2 linked regions of the Callithrix jacchus genome follow. The protein of the gene in region 1 interacts with the protein of each later gene in a pairwise test. Links are inferred from orthologs where the notes say so. Each region holds a gene or a part of one and is shown on either strand. Other genes may lie near its edges. The genes, in order: PRKAA2 and CCNB1IP1.

Evidence for each region.
Region 2: the proteins of PRKAA2 (region 1) and CCNB1IP1 interact in binary tests that used the Homo sapiens proteins (3 or more experiments, as listed by UniProt). The two-hybrid records come from large-scale screens. The link is inferred for Callithrix jacchus from reciprocal best matches to the Homo sapiens genes PRKAA2 and CCNB1IP1.

The regions. Positions count from the first base shown.
Region 1 is NC_133508.1:93,780,862-93,784,682, forward strand, and holds part of PRKAA2 (5'-AMP-activated protein kinase catalytic subunit alpha-2), read left to right. Parts: intron 1-2,719; coding exon 2,720-3,224; intron 3,225-3,821. UniProt on the Homo sapiens protein: Catalytic subunit of AMP-activated protein kinase (AMPK), an energy sensor protein kinase that plays a key role in regulating cellular energy metabolism.
Region 2 is NC_133509.1:55,055,413-55,059,943, reverse strand, and holds the start of CCNB1IP1 (E3 ubiquitin-protein ligase CCNB1IP1), read left to right. Parts: upstream 1-1,693; 5' UTR 1,694-1,719; intron 1,720-4,531. UniProt on the Homo sapiens protein: Ubiquitin E3 ligase that acts as a limiting factor for crossing-over during meiosis: required during zygonema to limit the colocalization of RNF212 with MutS-gamma-associated recombination sites and thereby establish early differentiation of crossover and non-crossover sites.

The sequences.
Region 1 (3,821 bases):
ACCTTTTCATTTACCCAGCTTTCACTGCTGCTTCAGGCATGTTAGGATGTTAGACAGTTGCCATTGATTTTTTTTTTTTTTTTTTTTTAAGCAAGTGCCCTGGGGAGAAGGCTGTTTGTGAGAGTAAGCTCTGAGTCAGGTCACCTAAAAACCAGGCTTGTGAGTGGGAGATTTCCAGAGAACTGGTAGGTAAGTAAGATAATGACAGTTCTCTTATGGTCGGAGTTTTGGGCAGCTATATACTATTCTGTTCTTCTGTTTTCCCCACCCCAATGCCCCAGTGGTTGTTAAGCTCCTGGTTTTCTCAGCTCTGTGATTATGAGGCTGTTGCATTTCAAGGCTGCCATGGAACTGGACAAAGGGAAATGGACATAGGACAACTTAAAAAGCCACAAATCTCACCTTTCTTACTGAAATTCAGCCATTTTTCTTGAATAGACAGTCTTCAGATTGTTGCAAGCCTTTGATTAATTTCCAGGGTTCTGAAAAAGTTGACTTAGACTGTTTTTACTGGTATTTTGTTTTATGAAATAATAGATTTTTTGAGTTTATTTTGGTGAAAGTGTTTAACTTCTCTACTTGTCATTTAAAAAATATTAGGCAATAAAAAAAATTCTCAAAAAAAAATTAGACAAGTAACATAATTTTTTTGTCTTTTGTTACTTCTTTTGTAGCTGGGTGTGGTGGTGCACACTTGTAATCCCGTGTACTCAGGAGGCTGAGGCAGGAGAATCACTTGAACCCAGGGGGCAGAGGTTGCAGTGAGCCGAGATCACACCACTGCACTCCAGCCTGGGCAACAGAGTGAGACTCTGTCTCAAAAAAACAAAAAAAAAATAGAAAAGATCTATCTCAGTTATTTTTATTGCTAAACATTAATAGGTGCTTAATATTATTGTATAGCAAATAAACACATGAATGAATTTTTGTGTTCATACTTTGTCTATTCATATATTTATTCAGCATTTATTGAGCATTTACTCTGTACTACATAGTGGGATAGAGCTAAATAAGGTGTGGTCACTATTTCAAGAAGCTCTCAGTTTAGTGGGCAAGATCAAGAAAAAACAACTATAAGAATGTGTTGTGATAGAAAAATCTAGTAGCTGTAGAAGTTTTATCTTTGTACATATCCTCAGGGGTTGACACACCATCATTTCTCACTTGGACTATTGCAACTAGCGTCATCATCATCATCAACATTTTTATCTTTTCAATTCAGTTTTTATACCACAAACAAAATGATCTTTACAGAAGGATAATTAGGTTATATTATCCCATCTCTTTAAAATCCTTCAATGATTTTTATCAACCACCGGTTCAAATTGTGAGATTTCCTTTTTATAGCCTCCAATTCTTAGAAGTATCTGATTTCATTTGGCACTCATCTCAACTCATTCTGCTTTCATGATGTTGAGCTCATTCCAGTTCCTAGAGCACAGCACAACTCTTGTTTGTCTCATGGTTTTTGCACATAATGTTTCTTTTGCTGGGAATATCTGTTCCCCAACTATTGGCATAGCTGACTTCTGATCATTCTAGTGTCTGCTTAAATATTACTCAGAGTGGCTTCCCTGATCACCCACTTCTCATTCTAAATTAAACACTCTCATTTTACTCTATGCAATTTCTTCTCCAATATTTTTCTCAGGATTTGCATATTTGTAACTATATTTTCATGTATATTTGTTTAATCTCTATTCAGCTAAAATATAATCTTTGTGAGGAACAGTATTTCTTTTTGTCCATGGTATTTCCTCAGTAAATATTTATGAATAAATTAATCAGTGAATAGAGGACATTCAGTCAAAATATATCTTCATCTGCATTTATCTTATGGGAAGCCCAGTTCTACCAGGTAGGAATAATCTTGAAGGAGTAGTTTGTATTAGATGAAAAGGGTTTGACATTCTAGGATAACAATAGTAACATCAAGTGCAAAGCCCCAGAAGCGTGAGAAAATATGGCTTAAGAAAGCAGTTCTCAAACTTTTTGATTTTAGAATTCCGTAACTCTGAAAAATTATTGAGGACCTCAAGGGGGATTTATTTTAATGTAGGTTATATCTATAAATATTTACTATATTACAATTAAAACTGAGAAATTAAGAAAACATTTAATTTATTTAAAAATATAAACCACTATATGTTAAATAATACATCTTTCATGAAAAATAACTATATCTTCCAAAACAAAAAATAATTGTGAGAAGAGACATTATTTTATATCAAAGACAGCTAGGTTCTCATACCTTCTTCATTCAATCTGTTGCATTATTTCGTGTAGTTGAAGTGTGTAAAGAAGGTATGATCTCAGATAAGTGGTTGGAAAAGGAAAACATTTATTAACACCAACTTTATCAGAAAGTCTTTAAGTATTGGGAAGCTGTTAAACACATACAAATAATACAAAATTTTAAAGTTTTTATTGAAAGCTTGAATTTTATCATTGGCAACAAATATTGCTGGTTGTTTTCCTTAAAGAGATGGCCTTGCTTTTTTCATTTTTGAGAGAATGTCATCTGAATGCCCAAGTCTTTATAACCATAGTTATTCAATGGTAGTGGGTAATTAACTTGCTCAGGGTTACATAGCTAGTAAGTGGCAGAGCTAGGTATAGAGACCAGATCTTTTGGTTGTATTATGTTGTATTGCCCTATGTCTAAATTATTTGGACTTGCCAAAGCATGTCTTACAATAGTGTATTGTGTTTTTCCTAGAGAGCATGAATGGTTTAAACAAGATTTGCCCAGTTACTTATTTCCTGAAGACCCTTCCTATGATGCTAATGTCATTGATGATGAGGCTGTGAAAGAAGTGTGTGAAAAATTTGAGTGTACAGAATCAGAAGTAATGAACAGTTTATATAGTGGTGACCCTCAAGACCAGCTTGCAGTGGCTTATCATCTTATCATTGACAATCGGAGAATAATGAATCAAGCCAGTGAGTTCTACCTCGCTTCTAGTCCTCCATCTGGTTCTTTTATGGATGATAGTGCCATGCATATTCCTCCAGGCCTGAAACCTCATCCAGAAAGGATGCCACCTCTTATAGCAGACAGCCCCAAAGCAAGATGTCCATTGGATGCACTGAATACAACTAAGCCCAAATCTTTAGCTGTGAAAAAAGCCAAGTGGCATCTTGGAATCCGAAGTCAGAGCAAACCATATGACATTATGGCTGAAGTTTACCGAGCTATGAAGCAACTGGATTTTGAATGGAAGGTAGGAAATTACAATGTATTAGGATCATTTGTAGAAGCCATTTTTCTATATGATAAGCTGCTCTGAGCTGCTGAGTTGAGTATTAAGTGCAGTTTTTTCTAGTAATATACCATGCACATTAAAAACAAACAAAAAAATAACCTCTAAGGATGAAAACCAGTTGATGCTGGAAACCAACATTTTGAATTATAGTGTAGTGTTCTTGGTCAAGAAAAAAGTAATCAACTAGAAATCATCTGAGAAAACAGATTACTGGTTTCAGCATGCATCAAAGCGTTGGAAAATCATGAGTGTCTTCAAAGATAGTATGTTTTTACTTCTTTTTTTAGGGAGGTTTTTTCTTTTTTAGGGGACAGAGGCAGGTGGCTGTGATAGCTAGTAATCAATACAAATTATACCATCACACATATTTATTCAGTCAATAAACACTTTTCTCTAAATTGTGATATTCTCTCTTATTTGGCTCGTGCTTTTAATGCTTCTAGTACATTTTCCTTACTCTCAGCCCAAAGTTTACTCTTCTTAAAAATAAGTGCTCAATTTCATTTTAGTTCTATTTGAATATGTGTGTGGAGAGGGCATTTTTCCATTTCAGAT
Region 2 (4,531 bases), on another chromosome or scaffold:
TCTGAATCCTGACTTTACTGCTTGCTAAATAGACAAATTCCTTAATTTCTGTAACTCTGTTTCCTTTTGCTTTGGTGAAATACTTATAATGAAAGTGCCTACATTCATGGGATAATGTGAAGATTAAACAAAGTAATGAATATAAAGTGCTTAGCAGCATTCCTGGTTTATAGTAAACATTCAAGAAATGTTTTGACTTTGAAAGTTACAATAAATCACTTATGGAACAACAAAGTAGCATTTGATGTTAAATATTGGGAAATTTGGGGCAGTTAAACTCTAAAGTGGATTGGAATAGGTAATAATTTCTAGTAAGGTGGAAGCAGGGTGAATAGGATGAAATTATTTAAAAATGAGAACTGTGAGTTAGAATTGTATCATTTCTTCTTAGAATTGTATACCTTGAATCTTTATACTTCAAATATTTGCACATTACATGTATATTTGTACCTATAACATATATTTGTATATGTATTCCCTATTATATACTATAATGGTACTTATTAATACTACTAATACTAATGATGATGAATATTGTGCTAGTGAGTCCTCTAATTATGGCTTAAAAAGAAATCTTTCAGCTTGGGCACCATGGTGAAACCCTTTCTCTACAAAATATACACAAATTAGCTGGGTGGGGTGGTGCACGCCTGTAGTCCCAGCTGCTTGGTGGGGTGCTGAGGCAGAAGGATTGCTTGAACCTGGGAGGTCAAGGCTGCAGTGAGTCGAGACTGGACCACTGCACTCCAGCATGGAACACAAAGTGAGACCCTGTTTCAAAAAAAAAAATTTTTTTTTTTAACAGACTAAGAACATACACTTTAACTGGAGGAGGATGTTAGGAGTCAAAACAATTGCTTAATCACTTATGTCCTCAGCACTGAAGGTCATTGTTTTGGTCTGGAGGTGTGTAAAATGTACACTTTGCTCTCTAATTGTTTATAGTCTACTTGGGAAGATAAACCTAACAAGAAATATGTAATAACAATAACGGCTAACATTGTTGAGTACTATGCACCAGCCATGGTACTGAGTATATAAATTATTTTACTTAAAACTCACAACAATCAGAGTAGGAAGATTTCATAATTTTTCCCTCTTTTATAGTTGAGGAAACTGAGGCTTAGATATGTGCAAATAAGTGGCAAGTTTCGGATTCAAAATCAGCTAAATTTTATTTAAAGCCTAAAATACTTAACCACCTATCTTTTATCTACTAAGCTTGTTAGTTCAAAGATTACCTGAAGGTAAATTTTATCAATACAGCTTTGGATTTTGGGGAAAAAAAAATGAAGGTAAATTTTAACTTGAATAGATCTAGACTGTTTATAATGGAATTTGTTGCCTAGCATCAATTGTGACCATACTGAGGTCACAAAGGATAAGAAATTACCCTTAAGAGATGAAAATTCTTTGGAATAGAATGCAGTAGCCCACACAAACAGGAATGTGCATAAATAGCTTAAATTAGCCTGTGTTTGCATAAGGACATTAACTGGAAAGGAAACTTGGTTTAAGAAGTTCACTTTAAAAATTGTGCAAGAAGCATCACTGGTCCATAAAGAGAGAAGGGTGGAGTGGGTTACGTCATTTCAGCACCTTTTAAGGTAAAGGAGGAGGGAATCCTCTTGAACTCATTAGCCAATTAGGTTCTGAAGACGCTTCTTAAGGCCACTTCCTGTCTCTCCACTTTCTTTCCCTCTCCGTTTTGGTGGGCTGGTGAGTGTGCACTTAGTTTTGCGCTCTTTAACTGTTTTGAATTTCTCTTCATTTATGCCATATACCCAACTGGCAGGCCTTTATTTCAAGCCGGCATTGGAGTGTGTGTGAGTCGCAAGGCGATTAATTTAGGCTCTGTGGAGGTTGGAAGAAGACAGTGAAATGCTCTGCCTGGCTTGTTTCCACGTGGGCCTCTGCAGTACTGGGGTTTGCCTTCTTTCTCTGAGTCCCGGTGACCCAGGAACAATAGACTCTGCTTCATGTGCACAGTGCGTGTGTTCTTGGAAACGCCCAGCTTTATTTCGCTGGGAGGGAGAAATACTGTTATCATCCCAATGCTGTTTTGATTTGTATCTCCTTGGGTGAGGTCAGATCTTGGGAGAAGGCGTTCAGCTCAGTAGATTTTAATTCTCCGGAGAGTGTCTAGGAGGGACCGGGACCTTACTGGGTTTATGAAAGCTGCAGCGGATCTTGTCTTTTTCCTGGCCTTAGCTCAGATCTTTTCGGCTTTCTTGGTGAACCTGGGCAGCAAACTCTGAAGACAGATAAGCCCTAAGAGGAGCTCGTAATTTTTAATGTTGCCACAGTGGTGAATGTGGCCTAAAAAGCTATGGAAAAAGATCCGGGGACCTTAGTTTCGGGCAAGCCTGTAGATTCAAATTCCAGCGCCACAGTTTACAGCTCTGGTGACCTTGGGAGTGGCAGTGAGCCATTCCCAGGCTTAGCTTTCCAAGATCAGATAAATATATAAAAACTAGGCCCTACGTGGTATGTAATAAATGTTAGGTACCTTTAGAAGTAAGCAGTACTTATTTATCATAGTATTTTGGATATCTGTTTTCTCATAAAAAGTTTTGTCTAGCGACCTCGAATGTAATTTCACTGCATTTCTTTTGATACATGTTAGTTTTTATATGATATATGTGTTGGGTATCCTTATAGGTAGAAAGCATGAGAAAGACAAATAAACCAGTTAATTGAATGTAGTAATAGGCATTTGCAGGCCTCCCATAATTTTTATAATTCTCAAGCAGTTATAATTGATTTTTTGAATAGGTAATATATTCACATGGTTCAGAATTCCAAGGAAATCAGTTTCTTATCCCCTTCCCTAAGCCATCCAATTCCTCTCTTGCATAACAGTGTTACTAAGATATTTTATGCATGTAAGCAAATATGTGTGAGTATCCTTCCCTTTTTCTATATCTACTCTACTATATGTCTTACTTTTTCCACTTAATAAGTAAGTGTCCACATTCTTTATAATGGTAACAGTATTCTCTAAAAATTTTTTTTCAAAAAATATTTTTTATTTCAAAAGGTTTTTGGGGTATAATGGTAACATAGTATTCTACTTTATGTACATGGCATAATTTATTTAGCTTTTATCAGTAGATATTTAGATAATTTATGATCTTGATATTTCTCCCTAAATGAATGGCTTTGCAAATAAGTCAGTTGGCATATAGGCATTTCAACTGGGTTTTAGCATATTCTTGTTTAAAAGGAATCTAGATATTTTGCAGAGCTTCCTATTTATATTTATTTAAGTACACATAGTGGTGATTAGAAACTAATCAATACTTTAAATGTCTTGATTGAACAGTAAAGGATTTTCTACCAAAAGCAGGATCATCTTGATGGGGTTTTTTTTTTTTTGAGACGGAGTTTCGCTCTTGTTACCCAGGCTGGAGTGCAATGGCACGATCTCGGCTCACCGCAACCTCCGCCTCATGGGTTCAGGCAATTCTCCTGCCTCAGCCTCCTGAGTAGCTGGGATTACAGGCACGTGCCACCACGCCCAGCTAATTTTTTGTATTTTTAGTAGAGACGGGGTTTCACTTTGTTGACCAGGATGGTCTCGATCTGTTGACCTCGTGATCCACCTGCCTCAGCCTCCCAAAGTGCTGGGATTACAGGCTTGAGCCACCACGCCCGGCCCATCTTGATGGCTTTTATGTGGGTATATATTTATCCACTTTGGTTTGACTAGGGGATGGTTTATCTTGTTATGAGCACAAGTTTTTTTTAAAATCTTTTTTAATTGTATTTTTTTGAGCATATGTTTAATGTTGGGAAGGAGTGACAGCAGTGGCCGAGAACAGCCAAGTCATCTGTATTCAAAGAGACAGAAGGGGCATACTTTCAATGTTTTCTTAGAAAATGTGTGCTGGATATGCCCCTCAACTTACGGTGTTGAGGGAGTAGACCCATTTTAGTATTAAGTTAGGAAAAGCTGAAATATGTTTTAGGATATAGACATGCAAAATAAAAAATGAGACTTTGGGAATTTCTCCAAAGCTGTTTCAGTCTTTAGTTCTGGTTTTTTAGGTGGTAATTTTGTGAGTTGGGAAAAAATTAGGTTCTTTCCAATGGAAGCTTCCTTTTGTTAAGAAATAACTTTATGGCGAGGCACGCCTGTTAATCCTAGCACTTTGAGAGGCCGAGGTGGGCGAATCATGAGGTCAGGAGTTTGAGACCAACCTGGCTAACATGGTGAAACCCTGTCTCCACTAAAAAGACAAAAAATTAGTTGGGCGTGGTGTTGAACGCCTGTAATCCCAGCTCCTGGGGGTGCTGAGGTGGGAGGAGGAGGTTGTGGTGAGCCGAGATCGTGCCATTGCACTCCAGCCTGGGCAATGGGAGCAAAATTCTGTCTCAAAAAAAAAAAAGAGACACAACATCTTGGAGTTGGAAGGGCCCTTATGAGTACTATATGAGTGGCCTTTCTGGCTTCTGGGCTATTGTCAGAAGAATGAATTTTTGTTTTTGTTAAATTTGTATTTATTGTAGATTCATGGGGTACAGGTGC